Linked DNA regions of Ovis aries. The protein of the gene in region 2 interacts with the protein of the main gene of each other region in a pairwise test. Links are inferred from orthologs where the notes say so. Each region holds a gene or a part of one and is shown on either strand. Other genes may lie near its edges. The genes, in order: ARPC3 and WASL.

Evidence for each region.
Region 1: the proteins of WASL (region 2) and ARPC3 interact in binary tests that used the Homo sapiens proteins (3 or more experiments, as listed by UniProt). The two-hybrid records come from large-scale screens. The link is inferred for Ovis aries from reciprocal best matches to the Homo sapiens genes WASL and ARPC3.

The regions. Positions count from the first base shown.
Region 1 is NC_056070.1:54,356,825-54,360,648, reverse strand, and holds part of ARPC3 (actin-related protein 2/3 complex subunit 3), read left to right. Parts: intron 1-2,177; coding exon 2,178-2,246; intron 2,247-3,100; coding exon 3,101-3,227; intron 3,228-3,585; coding exon 3,586-3,680; intron 3,681-3,824. UniProt on the Homo sapiens protein: Component of the Arp2/3 complex, a multiprotein complex that mediates actin polymerization upon stimulation by nucleation-promoting factor (NPF).
Region 2 is NC_056057.1:89,602,749-89,606,572, forward strand, and holds part of WASL (actin nucleation-promoting factor WASL), read right to left. Parts: intron 1,687-3,824; coding exon 1,166-1,686; intron 1-1,165. UniProt on the Homo sapiens protein: Regulates actin polymerization by stimulating the actin-nucleating activity of the Arp2/3 complex. Involved in various processes, such as mitosis and cytokinesis, via its role in the regulation of actin polymerization.

The DNA.
Region 1 (3,824 bases), on a different chromosome or scaffold from region 2:
ATGTCTCTGCTTTTTAATATGTCTAGGTTGGTCATAACTTTTCTTCCAAGGAGTAAGCGTTTTTTAATTTCATGGCTTCAGTCACCATCTGCAGTGATTTTGGAGCCCAAGAAAATAAAGTCTGACACTGTTTCCACTGTTTCCCCATCTGTTTGCCATGAAATGATGGGACCAGATGCCATGATCTTAGTTTCTGAATGTTGAGCTTTAAGCCAACTTTTTCACTCTCCTCTTTCACTTTCATTAAGAGGGTCTTTAGTTCTTCACTTTCTGCCATAAGGGTGGTGTCATCTGTATATCTGAGGTTATTGATATTTCTCCCAGCAATCTTGATTCCAGCTTGTGTTTCTTCCAGCCTGGCATTTCTCATGGTGTACTTTGCATATAAGTTAAATAAGCAGGGTGACAATATACAGCCTTGACATACTCCTTTTCCTATTTGGAACCAGTCTGTTGTTCCATGTCCAGTTCTAACTGTTGCTTCCTGACCTGCATACAGATTTCTCAAGAGGCAGGTCAGGTGGTCTGGTATTCTTCCCATCTCTTTCAGAATTTTCCACAGTTTATTGTGATCCACACAGTCAAAGGCTTTGGCATAGTCAATAAAACAGAAATAGATGTTTTTCTGAAAATTGCTTGCTTGCTTTTTCCATGATCCAGCGGATGTTGGCAGTTTGATCTCTGGTTCCTCTGCCTTTCCTAAAACCACTCGAACATCTGGAAGTTCACGGTTCACGTATTGCTGAAGCCTAGCTTGGGGAGTTTTGAGCATTACTTTGCTAGCATGTGAGATGAGTGCAATTGTGCGGTAGTTTGAGAATTCTTTGGCATTGCCTTTCTTTGTGATTGGAATGAAAACTGACCCTTTCCAGTCCTGTGGCCACTGCTGAGAGTTTTCCAAATTTGCTGGCATATTGAGTGCAGCACTTTCACAGCATCATCTTTTAGGATTTGAAATAGCTCAACTGGAATTCCATCGCCTCCACTAGCTTTGTTCGTAGTGATGCTTTCTAAGGCCCACTTGACTTCACATTCCAGGATGTCTGGCTCTAGGTGAGTGATCACACCATTGTGATTATCTGGGTCATGAAGATCTTTTTTGTACAGTTCTTCTGTGTATTCTTGCCACGTCTTCTTAATATCTTCTGCTTCTGTTAGGTCCATACCATTTCTGTCCTTTATTGAGCCCATCTTTGCATGAAATATTCCCTTAGTATCTCTAATTTTCTTGAAGAGATCTCTAGTCTTTCTCATTCTGTTGTTTTCCTCTATTTCTTTGCACTGATCACTGAGGAAGACTTTCTTATCTCTCCTTGCTATTCTTTGGAACTCTGCATTCAAATGGGTATATCTTTCCTTTTCTCCTTTACTTTTTGCTTCTTTCAACTCCTTGCCAAACTTTAATCCCTTGGAATCCAACAGAGTGTGAAATCTTTGTTTGTAGACTCTTGGGCAATAAACTGTGATCTAAACATTCTGTGATGTTATGGACATCTCTAATCTAATGCATGGTCTTAAGTGTGGTGTTTGTGTTAAAATTCCACCACATTTCATTCTCTCTCGAATATCATAGACTCTTAAAACTAGGGAAAAGTGTAGTTTGTTTATTTAAACTACACTTTAATTAAACTCTGTGTAAAATTTGACCTGAAGTACTGCCACATTTGATTAGCATCCGTTTGTCTTCTCCACATTTTCCTTTGGGTCAGGTCAAAAGTTGGACTTTTGGAGCTCTTCAAGAATAGGTCAGTTGTGAAATAATTGCTTCCTCCTTTAGAGTCATAAATGTTTCTATTCTCGGCACAGATCCTGAAGTGAAAGGGCTTTTAAAGATTAACGAGCCATATGGTTCACCTCAGGTTTTCCAGGCGGCTTTGTTAGCTCTCCTTCCTAGAAGGAGAAGTTATTGGTACAGCTTCTCAGGAACCCAAGGCAAGGGGAGCTGAGAAAAACAGGGGCAGCCACACAGCTCAGAGAGGAAGCTGGTGGCTGCCTCCCCAGGAGCAGACAGAGGGCTTGAGAAGATTACATTTGGAGAATGGGAATTTTTGATACTGTGATAACTGTGCTCTCAGTTTTCAGTTAATAAATCAAAAGACAAAGATTGAATTCTTTTATTGCAAATAGTTATTGCATTTTGCTCAGGACTGTTTTTAAGTTTTGTTTTCTTCCCATAGAATGAAGCTGATAGGACCTTGATATATATAACTCTCTACATTTCTGAGTGTCTAAAGAAACTCCAAAAGGTAACTAAGCCTGGATAATCATTTGTCAGGAATACAATAGGTGTTTAGTCTTGTTGAGTCTTTAAGGAGAAGTAGAAAATATTCCTCTGACTTAGAGCATGGACTTGAGAGGAAAATCTGAATGTAGATGTCTAAACTTACAGTAGTTGACTAATGAGAAGGATGATGGTGTTTTAAGGTTTTGGCAAATGTATATCTCTTAACAGTAGTTGACTAATGAGGAGATAAGGATGGTGGTGTTTTAAGGCTTTGCATATATTTTTCCAAGACAGAAATCTTGACCAAATATTCTTTTTTAAGCCCATGGCTCAAGGGTTCTTAACCTGGGGTCCAGGGATAGAATTCAGGGGTGCATGAACTTGAGTGGAGAAAAGATTACATCTTTTCACTAACCTCCAACTGAAATCTAGCATTTACTTTGATTATTAACGTAGGCAGCAGCCCACAGTAGCATTAGCAATACCTGTGACTTTCTGTGGCAGTTTCATACTACATTTATAATTGAAGATATTTTGAAATTTTACTTGCATTCATTACTGCTTCAAAATTCAGTTGTTAGGTCCACTGCTGAGTCTTGTTATTTAGTGCATTAAAGAGCACATGTGTGGCTATGTCATAAAGTTGATTTTTTAAATATTGTAATTATTGTATTTCATTATAATTGGATTCTTGTGTAGTCCTGTTTTATCTTATTCATTTAAAAGGTTAGTTTGAGGAGGAGCCTACAGGCTTCACCAGATTACAAAAGGGCACAAAAACAGAACCCCAGACCTAGCCACTTAGACCAAAAAACTGCAAATTGAAATGTTATATCCTTTTTCCCTACGTTTGTGTATATAATTTTTTTTTTTAAGTGCAATTCTAAAAGCCAAGGCGAGAAAGAAATGTATACACTGGGAATCACTAATTTTCCCATTCCTGGAGAGCCTGGTTTTCCGCTGAATGCCATTTACGCCAAACCTGCAAACAAACAGGAAGATGGTAAGAACATCTCCTCCCCCTTCCTGTGTGGCACATGGTTTTCTCCACTGGACTGTTTACCCGCCTCCTTTTCTTGACTTGATTGTTGTACAGATTGAGAGTGGGCTCATTAGCTCATGCACTAGCCTACTTTGTGAGAGTCACTCTCACAAAAGATCCTTGGCAACAAGTATGACACGTAGAGAACCTTTTCGACCAAAATGAGTATAATCTTAAAACCATTTGAACTGCTGTTTCTACTTCTTATCCTGTTCAGATGTTGAAGAATATTGCCAAGGTCAGTGTCTAAATCAACAGCTAGCACATTTGGGATGCTTTCTCAAATATAATTTTTTATTTTACCTGCTCTTGATTTTAGAGGTGATGAGGGCCTACTTACAACAGCTGAGGCAAGAGACTGGACTGAGACTTTGTGAGAAAGTTTTTGACCCTCAGAATGATAAACCCAGCAAGGTAAAAACTCTTTTTATTGCCTATTTAGTTGATAAATTACCTTTTACCCTGTAGCCACCTTAAGCCATGCTAAGGTGTTTAGTTTTCACATTGCAGTGTTGCCTAACTTTGTTACCTTATACATGGTAGGAGTTCCCTGAGTCA
Region 2 (3,824 bases):
GGCCAAATCTAGTCTGCCTTGTCTTTTTGTATAACTTTATTAAAGCTAAGAATGATTTCTACACTTTTAAATGGTTGAAAGAAAACAAAAATGAAAGAATATTTGTGATATGTGCAAATTATCTGAAATTCAAATTTCAGTGTCCATAAATACAGCTTTATAGAGCGCAACCACATCCATTCATTTATGTGCTGTCTACGGCTGCTTTCACAGAACATGTACGGCTGTTCCATCTGTTGTACAACAGCAGAGCTGAGCAGCTGTAACATACTATATGGGTTTGCAAGCCTAAAATGTTTACTGTCTAGTCCTTTAAAGAAAAAAGTTTGGTAACCTTTGCTCTAAGTGAAAGTGAAGTCGCTCAGTCGTGTCTGATTCTTTGTGATCCCATGGACTGCAGCATACCAGGCTTCTCTGTCCACGGGATTTTTAAGGCAAAGGTCCTGGAGTGGGTTGCCATTTCCTTCTCCAGAGGATCTTCCCGACCCACGGATCGAACCTGGGTCTCTCACACTGCAGGCAGATGGTTTACCGTCTGAGCCACCAGGGAAGCCCTGCTCTAGAAGGTGAAATGATGATCTCATCCAGCTCAGAGAATCCAAAATCATCTGCCATCACTACAGAAATTCTTCAATTCTCTGTGGAGTCTGATTCCCTACTAATCTAAATTTCAGACACAGAAACTTTAAAATATAGTTTAGTTTTCATAAAGTTAATGGCCTGACTTTACCAAAATGATTACGATTGGTTTTAATATGGCTACTTTTACTTCTGTGTAGTTTAATAAAGATTTTTCTCACAATTAAATTTTATTTAAAAGTCTAGAACGATGAATTTTGAACACAGTGCAATATTCTCTTTATGAAGTTCTATAATAGGCAAACTAAAACTATGGTGACAGAAATAAGATCAGTGATTCTTTTTGAGAAGGGAGAGAGGCATGAGGGAACTTTCTGGGGTGGTATTTTGATACAGCAATATAGGTTACACAGGTAAAGGTATAAATGTGTGTATTTTATGGTATTAAAAATATCAGAAATTCATAGGGTTAAAAAAATACCAAGAGAAGAAGTAAAAATAAAGATTTCTTTCCGAAGATGTCTTATAATATTTTAAAAATTTCATGAAGACAGGTAGTCTAGATTGAAAAGAATGGATTACTTACAGATTTCAGTTGAATACCCTGTCGTATCTGGTCTAAAAGTGCATCCCTTCCGGAGCAGGACACTGGCCGACTGTTCTGTTCCACTTTTTTTAGCTGAGCACCCTCTCTAATTTGATCTAAAAGAGCTGCTTTGCTTCCTGCAGGAGTTGGAACTTGGTGGTCACCATCAGAAGGGAGGCCAGGGGGAGGTGGTGGCCCTGGTGGAGGCGGAGGCGGAGGAGGAGGCGGTGGTGCCACTGACCCGCTCACTGACAGAGGTGGAGGTGGTGGTGGAGGCCCTGAAGGTGCTGAGGAGGGAAGAGCTGGAAGTGGAGGAGGGTACATCCTGTTTGGCGGTGGTGGAGGGACTCCTACACCCGGCCTGGATGGAGGCGGTGGTGGCGGTGCAGCTGTGGGAGCTCTTGAAGGTGGTGGAGGAGGAGCCCCTCTTCCCCTGGCAGGAGGGGGAGGAGGGCCCGAGCTATGTGGAGGCGGGGGAGGAGGGGGCGGCCCTCCCCTTGATGGTGGTGGAGGTGGTGGTGCTGAAATACAAACAGAAAAGAGAAAGCATGCTTTTCTCCCCCACAAACATTATACTGAAAAAGCAACATATTTCAACATGCATTAAAACAGTATGAGGAAAGGCCTCATCTTTGTATTTTATTTTACAAAGCTATCTGAGCAAAGATGATATCTTACAATTCTTATGATATCTTATAATTTCCAATAATTTGGGAATTCTCAGCCTAAAGATCACTTTCCTCGTCTTGAAAAAGTATTCGCTGAAGTAGTAGAATTTAGTTATTAGAAATCAGCACCACTTCTCAAGGTAAGGGAATAAACATATTTTTATATAATAATAATAAAACTATAACAAAGAAATTAAACATTTTGGTCAATAAGCATCATTTTACATTTTAATAAAAATTAATGGTTACTTTTCCTCTTTAAAGAATCAAGTGTAGTTAGTTAGCTGTTCTATGCAGTTAATTTACATTCAGAATTAAATAGCTAATGTAGTATAATCTATTAAAATTTATTCAAGTTAATCTGAGCTAAACTCAGCTGAAATGTTCAACTACTTATTCAGGAGACATTAACAAATTTACTGAAAATTTCTAAACACTGTAAAATTCAAGTTAGTAAAATATTAACATTACTCTGGTAGTAATAATATATACCTTCTTATTTTGCTAAAGGTAAAGTGTAAGTTAAAACACAGAAATTCAAAGTATAAATTTATTCCATTTCCAGAGGCATGATTTTAACAAGAGCGTACACAAATTTACAGAATAATAAACTTCATTATTTTTTCATTAAAGAGTGAGTAGGAAAACAATAACTTTCTTTTTTTAAGGAATAAAGCTATTTATATTTACTGGTACAAACTAATACATTCTTGATGGATAGTTCTATAGTCTATACACCTTAATTTCAAATAATAGGGTTAGATGCTCAAAAATGCAATGATACCAAGAGGAAAAAAAAAACAACCCTCACTTCAAAGGAAAGCCAAACATTATTTTCTGATTTCATTTGAGACAATCATGGGAAATATGCTATAAAATACGGTATCAAATGTAGTCATAAATATGAGATGAAAAAGACAGTAAGGCAAGGCTCACAAGGGTATTGTCTCCTGATACAGAGACTTTTAAAACTGGAAACATGGAGCAGCAAACAGGACAGTCATCCTACTTGGATATAAGCCGCCCCTGAGGGAAGTGCCCATGATTTACACTCAAGGCATGCTGCTGCTGCAGCTAAGGTTCACCCAATTTTCTCACCAGATCCAAAGCAAGAAGACAAACTTGCTAAGACCAGTCTTTTTCCAACATAGTTTGTAGTAACAGTAAAACCAAGAGGACATGGTCTATGTACGTTACGTACACCCCCTGAATAAGAGAGTACGTCAAATCCTCCAAGCAGATACAAAGATTTCATTTTAATCAATTTAAGGCTTGCATTTCAAAAAGCAATGATATTTACCTGAACTAGTATTTTTTATGATTTAATTGTTTGCTAATCAAGAGGAAAAGGACTCACTCTATTCTACTACAAAAACTGTATTGTTAGTCAATCATTTCCTGTGGTTTTGCTAAGGACTCTGGAACCATAATCTTCTATGTACAGTGAAGAATCTCTTCAGTAGAGAGAATAAAGTTCTTCTGAACTGGGAGTAAGCACACTGATTGGAATAATTTGGGATTCAGCTAAAAATCATTCAAGGTGAAGGTGAAGTCGCTCAGTCATGTCCGACTCTGCGACCCCGTGGACTGTAGCCTACCAGGCTCCTCCGTCCATGGGATTCTCCGGGCAAGAATACTGGAGTGGGGTGCCATTTCCTTCTCCGAGACACTAAATTACTGTTCAGGCAAGGGGAGAGCATTAATTTATAGTGAATAAATTATCAGCTATACCAAATTTGGGTATAGCACCAGTTCAGCATTTCTATTCTCTGAAAAGTGACTGGAAATATCTCTATCATTTTCGTGAGGAAAACATCTATTACCACCTTTCTATGTTTATAATCTGTACTATGACTACATAAAAAGGAAAGCATGCTGAAGACATGCCATACCCCAAGGCAAAAATATGAAGGAATTAAGACAGGAGAAGACAGGAGAGGTGGCACAGCGTTAGCCAGGTTCACATGCACAGAAACGTCTACTGGGCAGAC